3 linked regions of the Arabidopsis thaliana genome follow. The protein of the gene in region 2 interacts with the protein of the main gene of each other region in a pairwise test. Each region holds a gene or a part of one and is shown on either strand. Other genes may lie near its edges.

Region 1 (3,760 bases), 5.6 Mb from region 2:
CCTATATAATAATTTATTTATAATAATTTTACTTGAATCGTTTTTTAATCGTTTCATATGCAGACTGTTACCTAGTTTAGTTTCATTTTTATTTACCAACCATTTCATCATTCAACGCGTTGAAAAATATATGAGCATTGGATAATAAGACAGATATAAATGTAAGTACATATTTAAAAAAATTTAGCTTATGTTTTGGAAACTCGAACACCCTCATCATGTGTATACCCTCTATATTTGTTTTTGAACTTTTTTTTTTATCTCTTTCGTACGTGATACAAAAGGATAAACTAGCAAGCTACTTCGGAGTGGAAAGACATAAAGCACCATGTACGAGCTTTTTTCTACCTGATATACTCGACCCAACCTGATCCGACCGGTCCGGTCAACACATTATCTCATTTGATCGGTCGATCAGGTGAGGCATGTTGTTGTCTCCGTCGGTCATCTTCTGTGGATATAGTCGTCATGACCTATCAGGACGTTTTCCAAGCTAAGTAGTCTTCATCCCATTCTTGCATAGTCATGTTCAAAATTTATATATTTTTCATCCATAAGGCCTGATTCCTAGCTAAATCCACTCCATAGACTCTTTAAAGACTACCAAAATGAAGTCGTAAAGAGATTAAGCGCCTAAAATGATCAAAGCCGGAGGTCAATGCGTTTGATAACTTGGACGAAGAGATATTTATGCCATTAACATGTTATTTTCGTCGTTTGTGGATACTAATGTTCTTCACGTTTTCACCATCCTCCAAATTTGGTCTTAGCCCTTGATGATTCAAAGATGAAGACGAAGAAGACAGCATATTCATGGACAAGTTGGCACTGGAATCACTACTTCGAGATTGAAAGTGGCCATATTGATCAAGAAGTATGTCAGGAGCAATTGGTGGAGGTGGACTAGGTGGTGTCACGATAATGCGATCATGGGAAGTAGCGGGCGATGGATAGAGTTGAGTAGGGTTGACACGAATATGCTCGGGGAAGTTAAGCTTGGCCTTGTGACCTCTAAACTCAAATGCAGCTTTATCATACGCTAAGGCGGCTTCTTCTGCAGTGTCGAACGTCCCAAGCCACACACGAGCTGCCTTGTTCGGGTCACGAATCTCAGCCGCCCATTTTCCCCACGGTCTTTGCCTCACGCCTCTGTAGTTTCGTTGCCTCGAGTTACTTTTTTCTGTAGAAAAATGATGAAAATTGTAAGTTCACTCTTGTCATGAAAATGGTGACTTAAATGTGACGTGCATGTCTATGAATATAACGTATACTATCGGTGTAGAGGCATTTCGTAAAGATTATTAAAGGGCGTTTGAATCATATGATATGATCATTCTACATCAACTTTTATTCCCCTCTTCTACATCTACTTATGAAATCTATATATTAGGCCAAACCTACATTTATACATTCCTCTCTCTCGTAATTGGTAATTAACTATATATATACTTATGTATCACACCAATGATATAATTAGGATATAAATTAAGTTTGATCATTTTAAATACGTTTTCCCCATGTTACAATCCTAAAACTCTCTCTGGCTAGTTATCTCAACCAAAATACGACCATTGCAACCAAGCCTTGCCAATCATATTTGTCCGAAAGCCAAATATGATCAATTTTGTCCAACCAATAAAGCCGACAGGTTTTTTCAAGAAAATCTAACCATGAACATTCATTAAAAAAATCATATAGTAAATTGAACTAATGCATTGTGGCCATACATGAAATTATATCTCTATTTGATCAAGGCCATGCTGCAGCCACTAAAGGATTACCAATTGCAAAATCCAAGATTAAATCATTCCTATGTGTAAAGAGAATCACCAATGGAAAAGACAATCACTCGAGTTATAAAGTATAGCAATTAAAATTATTGGAAAAAGGATCTGATGAAATTACCTTGAAGAGTAAGCGACGAAGATTGATCATCAATGGATGATGGGATGGGTTGACCAGTGAGTTCAGAGACAAAATCAGACACATCAGATTCCGACAAAGTTGAGCAACAACACAACTCTTTTTTCTCTTCTCTATTTCCGGCCATTGATTCTGGTGATAGAGGTCTCTTCCCGCTATGCATTATCCGATGATGTCAATTATGATTATTTTTATTTTATTTTTGAAGTCAAAGATGGGTTTGGGTACAAGCCAAAGAACCAGCAAAGATGTCTATTCTCTGCATCTATGTTATATATAGACGCACACGCATGTATTTGTTGACCAATATTATAGAGAGTTTGTCTAACCTAGAGGATATTTTGGTCATAAACATTACACACACTTTTTTGTTCCTTAAAAACAATTCTTTGTATTCATCTCTTTAATTTTCCTTAACAAACGTTACATTACGGACTGCATCGACCGACCCACTATGTAGTTGTATTAATGGTTTGTGTTAACCCAAAATCGATTGCGTGTCTCAAAAGACGAAAAAAAAAACGACTGTCTTATACAAAATTCATTAATTATGATCCAAGTCTTGTGTTAATTACGGTCAACATTTTAAGTTAAAATTAATTATTTATTATATATGTGGTGGATTTAAATAATTATTTTCATCCTGAACATTAAAGGGTTAATAATTTACCTAAATGACTCACCAAAAAATTAATTTACCTAAATGACCATGATGAATATCTAATTATTTAGGTAAATGAGCAAATGACAAACATATAATCAAAGAAACACTTTAATATATATAAACATGTAAACACCAATTATTTAGGTAAATAATGTATTTTCTATCATTTGACTTTAATGTCTTTATATATATATATATATATATATATATAGATACATATGTGTTTTGCACAATCATTTTATTTTAATAAACAACGTACTGTATAAATCACATAAATAAAATAGCATAATATTTTTGCTAATTAAAAGTCGCTTATGTCATCCAATACAGTTGAGTGTGTTTTTAAATTGTTTTATGTAATATATAAAAGTTCATGGTTAATTAGGATGAATATTCAAAATTAAAGGACAAACTCTGTTTCTATTCGCTACATATATAGTTTTACGGAATACACTCTGCACAAGTCATCATAAAACAACTGGAATGGAATATGCGATGAATCTCTTTAATAATAATATGTGGGATCTGACTGTGGATTCTAATCTAATATTTCTATTATAAGCAATTTGGACGATTCGTGCCATTTTAAAAATGGTTGAGGGATTTTTTTATGGGGTTGAATATTGTCATTGCGCCTTATCAGAAACACAAAAACAAAAAAAATATTGTCATTACATGCATGATGTTGATGAATTATTTTTCAATCATATAAACTTGTGGTTGAAGAAAAAGCACAATATTTAACAAACAAAAACATAACCTGAAACAATATAAACTTACTTTCTAAATTAATAAAACATTTGACCGAATGGGGAATCTAAAAGTGTGTCATATAAGATATTGATTTAAAGACCTAGATGACGTATGGGCTTACATAATATGTGGTCAACATTGAATATTATAGTCAGAGCAAACTTCGCACGAACAAATCAACTCCAATCTCACACCAATAGCATAAGACCATGCCGTAGTCTATATGATTGCCACAAAAGAATTATTCTTATTGGCCAACTTTGACCTAGTGTTATATTTGTATTTATATCTTTTAATTAAGTATTTATTGAATTATGTATATACATTGATTGTTGCATTCATCTTTTTTACTTAGTATGCCATCTATTCAATTAGATGAACACATTGTAATACTATAATAAATTACGTATGTTTAGTTAC
Region 2 (3,760 bases):
GCGTTTGGCCTTTGAGCATTTTCAGTTGACGAGTATGAGATGGCTTGTTGAATCATGTTTTTCTTACTTTAATAGGAAACTTTATTTATTCTCTTAATGTATATGTTGGTTCTATTTTAATTTTATTATTGTTATAATAGAATGGTTAAACAGTTAAAGATGTTTTCATACTAACTTCATCACTAGGTTTAATCGTTTAAGATGTTTTAAAGAAGCAAGAAATGTTGTCTTCGGAAAGAAAACAGATGTACTTATAGATACTTTCTGTTCCCAATAATTTAGAGACTAATGATTTCTTTTATAAATTGTCCTAATCAAAGTTTCGTTTGTTTTAGTTGTCTTTTTAGATTTCTCGTGCATGGTCTCAGCTCAGTTTATTTTTAGACACTTCAGACATCTCACCATGGTATTGGAATTGGTAGTGCTCAATTGGTGGGTTTATTATAAGCCCTTTGCTCCATCACTATAATTGGGTTTATGGACTTTGAATTAAATTCTACAGGCCCATGGGTTTATGGATATTGTTTTCAGCACATGTCAAATGTCAATATATGAAAAATTCAATGTGGAGAAACTTCTGGTGGCTTCATAAAGAGTAAGACTGCATTTCCTGATAGTAGTAGTGTACTGGTGTGGATGCAGATAACGTTATTAGAAATCAAAATTGAAAAGGTAGCTATTTTTAGGTCACATATTGTATCATTAATAGTCATTGTTCAATGATGAAATAATGAAAGACTAAAACTCTTGGATTGAGTCTTAGAGATCTATAATGTAACTTAGGGCATTAGCTTAGCCTTAATTTCACATGGTCAGTGCTTTAGTGTTGTGCAAATGAACTTGAGGAAGAAGCATTAGTTGGATTGAAGTTTTATTAGTATGCTTATATATACTTTTGTAATTCCTCATATAGTGAAGTGTCCTTCAACGTATTAAAACATAAAATATAAAATGGTTTGAGACTTGTAATATCTTTTATTTTCATGCAAATTTTTTTTTAAAAACTTTTATAAGAACAAACTTAGCAGTTGGTCTCTAGCACAATGAGTTTATTGTAGAATTTTGTGGAATCAAATTTAAGATTTAATTAACCTGAAAATAAGTTTAATAGATTTGTGACATCAAATTTTTAAAATGGAATCACAGTCTTACGTTTTCATTCCATCTCTAAAGTATGAAGGAAACCTGTAATGAAGCTTCCATGCCACCTAAGTTGTACAAAGTTCTTATCTAGCCTAATGAATAAAACCTAAAAATTAAACCAACTACAAAAGTTCAAACATGAAAAGCACATAGGAAAGGATCTAATCCCGATGTCGAACATCATAGTTCACTCATATGATTTTCAGTTTTCGTTGGTCTTGTGTGTTTTAAGTCTTTTTAAGTCTTGTGTGTTTATTGGTACCAAAAAATTAAATATTCTTCTAAAATTTACGTATCTAATTAAAAGAGAAAATATATATAATAAATCTTTTAACTATTGGTAATAAGTGTTAAAACAAATCTCAACTTTATAATAGAGTAAATATCAATGTTCTTTTTGTTGACCACGCAAAATAGACCTGAAATTAGTCAACTTTAACTATACTATTGTATTAACTAAATGTTAATTTTTAGTTATCAATTTATTATTTTGAGAAGATAATCAAACTGTTAACTAAAAATAAAAGTCACTTTCAGTTTCTATAAATCCCCAAAAATCAATTATAAACCCAAACTCTTCCTCACTTCATGTTTAAAGTTTAAACCAAAAAAAAAAAAAAAAACTCTTCAAAATCCTGATTTTGGGGAAGAACATAGATTCGCAAATCGATTCCTCTTCATCACGCAACATCAACAAAATAGTCAGTTTCGATTCCTTTTCTTACTTAGATTTTTTGTTTTTGTTTTTGAATATTTAAAACTATTGGGGCATTTTCGTGAGTAACTTAATAATTTGGGCCAAAACCGTTATTTTAAAACATTACTTCTCTATTATGTAGTAGTCACGAGTGATCGGATCGGACGGTGAACGATCGACGAAACTTCAAACCTTATATGAATAGTAATCGTCAGATCAACGTATTTAATAACAACCGTACGATCAAAATGTCTGTGAAATCTAACCGTCGAATATAATCCAGAAAATTGAAATTTCAAAACATGTATAAGAGAGGGAGGAGCAGCTCTCGCGAAGACGAAGAAGAAGAAGAAAAACCCCAAATTTCTCTGTTTTTTTTCGTTGGGTGGTTCCTCAGTGGTTACCAAATCTCTCTTCTTCTTCTTCGTCAGAAGCTAAAACCTTTCAAAACCCTAATTTCATCTATCTATCTCAATAAGTCTAGATCAAAAATTCGAATTTCAAAATCCCGTTTTGAGTTTTAGTAGATTCGGTTTCTGGGTTTTCGTAGAAACGGGATTAAGGGCGGATTCAGATCTTGAAATTTTTGTGTGTTTCTCAAACTGATTATAAATTTTGGTTTTTTTTTTTAAATTTCGTGTTTGAAAAATAGGGAAAATTTCTGGGTTTCTTCTGAGAAATTCGAATTTTTTGGAGATGGGAGAAGGTGAAGAAGGAGACAAATTCCCGCCAAAAACGGATGAGGTTACACAAGAGTCTATGAAGTCGGCGAGGCAACTCGATTTTACTGGTGGTTCTTCCGATGTTGAGCATTCACACTCTAATCAAGCTTCTTCGATGGCTGCTGCATCAATCCCTTCACCGATTGTGACGGTTACGCGGCCAATAATTACCAGTCAGGCACCACCGACGGTGGCGACTCCGATTCCACCGCCGCCACAATCTCAGGGCATCATCCTTCACGTCCCAATTAGACATCCGTAAGTTTCTCTCTTATTCAAAAATTTGAACTTTTGGGAAGTTGATAGAGATGTGTTTCTATGTTGCTGAAGTCAGATTTGGGGATTAAAGCATAGATCTTTACATTGATTTGAAAAGATTATTGAAATTGACATTTTGATTTTCATAGTGAATAAGGCAAGGTTTGAATTTCTAGAGTTGACACTTGTTTTTGTAATTGCAGGAGGCCCGAATCTCCGAATTCGATGCCAAGGCCTGCTGGGGAAACTAGAGATGGAACCCCTCAGAAGAAGAAACAGTGTAACTGTAAACACTCACGGTGCTTGAAGCTGTAAGTCTCTCATCATACCATTTGATGACAAAACTCTTTGTTTCTTTGTGGACTTGTTCATTGTGAATTGAACACTGTACAATGTCTTTTTTTGATCAGGTATTGTGAATGTTTTGCATCTGGCACTTACTGTGATGGTTGCAACTGTGTAAATTGTTTCAACAACGTTGAAAATGAACCTGCGAGACGACAAGCGGTTGAATCAACTCTGGAACGGAATCCGAATGCGTTCAGGCCAAAGATTGCTGCTAGTCCACATGGTGGACGAGATAACAGGGTATGTGGTTTGTGTTATGCTCTTTAAACTGTTGGTCTTAAGGTTGTTGGATAAGTTATAAATTTTGACTCGATTTGCAGGAGGAGGTTGGTGACGTTGTGATGTTAGCGAGACACAACAAAGGCTGTCACTGCAAGAAATCCGGATGTCTTAAGAAGTATTGTGAGTGCTTTCAAGCAAACATTCTTTGTTCTGAGAACTGCAAATGCTTGGATTGCAAAAACTTTGAAGGGAGTGAAGTTAGACAATCTCTTTTTCACGGTGAACATTCCCACAACTTGGCTTATCTTCAACACGCAAATGCTGCCATAACCGGAGCTATTGGTTCCTCTGGCTTTGCATCTGCTCCACC
Region 3 (3,760 bases), on a different chromosome or scaffold from region 2:
TGAAATATCATTGTTATCTCTCATGAAACAATTAATTTATGAAGTCGTAGACTCGTAGTTAGAGATTATTTAATCTTCCCTATTCAATGCCAAAAGTCTAGAAGAGCAAAACAAAAGGGAGAAACTCTTTTATTTCAGGCCCAATGACACAAAGCTGGCCAGAAACAGTTTAAGATTAGGCTAAAGTTATAAGTCCGACAAGCACGAGTGCTAATATATATAGTTATATGACGTCTCACCATTAAGGGTTTAATAAATTTTGAAACACCTCAAATTAAGATTGCTTCCCATGCAAACTTCCTTCATCTTCTAGAAAAATTACGATTTGTAATACTTCAATTATATCATTTTAGTTTTTTGTCACTAATTATCATCAATTTATCATAGCTCCGTGCCGCAACAACGTTCGTTTTAATCAGATTATATATTACTCTGCTATAAACTCAGAACCATGTTAGAAAAATGAAAAAGACATTTCAGAATATTCATTAACTCAAAATTTTAATCTCATGATTTAATTTTTTATTAACAATGTTATCCTATAGCACATGGCAAATTTGAACGGCCCTTGCGTATTAATCTATTATAATCTCAAAACCATGTGTAAGAAAAAGGAAATTCAGAAAATAACCTTTTGTAAATAGGCCCCCACAAAATCTACAACATACGTAGATACCTCCTCGCTTACAGTTGTAAACAACTGTTCATCTAGATTCATGCCGTCATTCAAGTTTAAATTAATACAATAATTTAAAATTTTAATTTGGATGAATCGAATCCACCGTCGTTTCCTGAATACCAGATAGGTTAACTTTATGATTAGTTCGAGTGAACCACATGCACAATATTCGAATCTTAGACATTCGTTGCAATGTTAACTTCACATATATTTGATAAACGCTTCTTGAATCAGATCTTAATCTCTTTCTTTCTCTCCATCTTCTAAGGAGGTTGTGGATTATCATGTAGTATATCATTATCTTCGCATCACCTTCAACAAGAACAAGCTACGAGCTTTAAAGTCGTATTTAACACAATAATGTATAAAGTCTTTCTTCATCACATCACATACATTTTTTGTTGCCATCACCCTTCATTCACTTTTTTTGTTAACACTATTCGTTTCTATATAAAATAAAAATAAAATGAGGAATGTCTTGTCCATAGAGATTTTTAAGGTCGAGGGTCATCGGAGCGATGTGGGCTTGCTTCCTACATTATAGTTGATATGTGGATCCCGCGTGGACCATATTTTTACCCAATAGCTACGTGCATGGTCCCACCGCTCTCTCTCACGCACTATTCCGAAATTGCCATAAACAATTTCACCGGACAAAAAGAGCAAATAATTTCGATGTTTAATAAAGAGACCATTAGTATATTTGACCCAAAAAAAAATAAAAAAAAAAGAGAGACATTACTATAACTTTTATTAGATGAAATATTGCAACATTGTATTTATAACGGATCTAATTTACTGAATCATATTTTTTTTCTTTGTTAAAGAGATACTGAATCATGCAGAAAAATAGATAGATTTTTAAATACTAGGTGAACTCATGACGAATCAACCATTACGAGAGATTTCTGGATAAAAGCAAAAACAAAACAAAACTAACATGCTAATCTAGGCAATTAGTAGAGCGAAAAGTCGGCAAAACCAAAGGCCGAAGAAGCTTGATCGATATACTTTTTTTTTTTTGTTTTGGCTGGATATACTTGGTATGAACTAAGAATTAAGTAAAAACTCATAGGGAGTAATTTTTCGAGAAGTGCATTCACTATGAGTATAAAACAGACATTTTCAAATTATTAAAACAAGCTCTTAGAGGCTCATATGTTTAATTGTAAGTGGCGGCTCATGCGAACTTATAATGAAAACATCAAATATTCGGAAAAATAATACTCCACTGTTAAAAAGAAAACTTAACAAAGGAATTAAAAATATGAGAGCAAAAGAACACATGCATTTTCTCATGCATGTACTATTATTTATTTTTTTGCAGAGTTGATGTAAAAAATATACACATATATATAGACATACTTTGGTTAGTTATAAACTCGTTCTATTTTCTTCTCCTTTTTCTATCTTTAGCAATGAACATATCAGTAAACGGACAGTCACAAGTACCTCCTGGCTTTAGGTTTCACCCAACCGAGGAAGAGCTCTTGAAGTATTACCTCCGCAAGAAAATCTCTAACATCAAGATCGATCTCGATGTTATTCCTGACATTGATCTCAACAAGCTCGAGCCTTGGGATATTCAAGGTTCATCATTTATCTTTTATTCTTGATGAAACGTATTAATAGGGCTTGTATATATTAATTAAATTAGTTTTTTAATGCATGTGTTGAGTCAAGAACTAAAGCTCTGAATTCAGGAAATTTTGCAGAGTAATATATACTTTTTGTGATAATAAAATTTGCAGTAACAAAATTCAGTCAAAACTTAACACAACTCTTGTTTTTTCTATGTAGAGATGTGTAAGATTGGAACGACGCCGCAAAACGATTGGTACTTTTATAGCCATAAGGACAAGAAGTATCCCACCGGGACTAGAACCAACAGAGCCACCACGGTCGGATTTTGGAAAGCGACGGGACGTGACAAGACCATATATACCAATGGTGATAGAATCGGGATGCGAAAGACGCTTGTCTTCTACAAAGGTCGAGCCCCTCATGGTCAGAAATCCGATTGGATCATGCACGAATATAGACTCGACGAGAGTGTATTAATCTCCTCGTGTGGCGATCATGACGTCAACGTAGAAACGTGTGATGTCATAGGAAGTGACGAAGGATGGGTGGTGTGTCGTGTTTTCAAGAAAAATAACCTTTGCAAAAACATGATTAGTAGTAGCCCGGCGAGTTCGGTGAAAACGCCGTCGTTCAATGAGGAGACTATCGAGCAACTTCTCGAAGTTATGGGGCAATCTTGTAAAGGAGAGATAGTTTTAGACCCTTTCTTAAAACTCCCTAACCTCGAATGCCATAACAACACCACCATCACGAGTTATCAGTGGTTAATCGACGACCAAGTCAACAACTGCCACGTCAGCAAAGTTATGGATCCCAGCTTCATCACTAGCTGGGCCGCTTTGGATCGGCTCGTTGCCTCACAGTTAAATGGGCCCAACTCGTATTCAATACCAGCCGTTAATGAGACTTCACAATCACCGTATCATGGACTGAACCGGTCCGGTTGTAATACCGGTTTAACACCAGATTACTATATACCGGAGATTGATTTATGGAACGAGGCAGATTTCGCGAGAACGACATGCCACTTGTTGAACGGTAGTGGATAACGGAAATGGAAGAGAGGAAGTGACTAAGTGAGTGACATACCAAAACATTGTGTAGAAAGATATAATAATCATCATACCATATATATAGTTGTTGAAACTTTTACGGTATAAATGGTCAGATTGTGATAATTACAGTACGTAGTTATGTGATATCATTACAGAAAATAAAAGTTCTCTATATCTGTGTACATTTTATATCATGATTAACTTTATAGAAAAGAATTGGTTGCATAGTTGAATTTCTTTGGATCAAGAATATTAGTTTTTGTCTTTTTGAAACTTAATTGCCATTCGATGAACAAAAAGGCAATTACATTTTCTACTGTAAGAAATCATAGTCTGTCACATGCATCGCCGGGTGTTTTCTAATTACAATTATATGAAAAAAGGATTTTGACCAAAAGTTGATTATGATTTCAAGAGAGACAAAAGACCAAAATGATAATTA

What was found.
Region 1: the proteins of AT2G20110 (region 2) and AT2G33710 interact in a two-hybrid assay, tested with the Arabidopsis thaliana proteins (one large-scale study listed by BioGRID).
Region 3: the proteins of AT2G20110 (region 2) and NAC066 interact in a two-hybrid assay, tested with the Arabidopsis thaliana proteins (one large-scale study listed by BioGRID).

Annotation. Positions count from the first base shown.
Region 1 is NC_003071.7:14,258,567-14,262,326, forward strand, and holds AT2G33710 (Integrase-type DNA-binding superfamily protein), read right to left. Parts: upstream 2,174-3,760; 5' UTR 2,087-2,173; coding exon 1,906-2,086; intron 1,181-1,905; coding exon 741-1,180; coding exon of another isoform or gene 705-740; exon of another isoform or gene 474-704; coding exon 399-473; 3' UTR 243-398; downstream 1-242.
Region 2 is NC_003071.7:8,681,960-8,685,719, forward strand, and holds the start of AT2G20110 (Tesmin/TSO1-like CXC domain-containing protein), read left to right. Parts: upstream 1-2,157; 5' UTR 2,158-2,536; coding exon 2,537-2,820; intron 2,821-3,023; coding exon 3,024-3,131; intron 3,132-3,230; coding exon 3,231-3,408; intron 3,409-3,488; coding exon 3,489-3,760. UniProt on the Arabidopsis thaliana protein: Plays a role in development of both male and female reproductive tissues.
Region 3 is NC_003074.8:22,928,745-22,932,504, reverse strand, and holds NAC066 (NAC domain protein 66), read left to right. Parts: upstream 1-2,048; 5' UTR 2,049-2,097; coding exon 2,098-2,269; intron 2,270-2,479; coding exon 2,480-3,312; 3' UTR 3,313-3,499; downstream 3,500-3,760. UniProt on the Arabidopsis thaliana protein: Transcription activator of genes involved in biosynthesis of secondary walls. Together with NST1, required for the secondary cell wall thickening of the anther endocethium, which is necessary for anther dehiscence.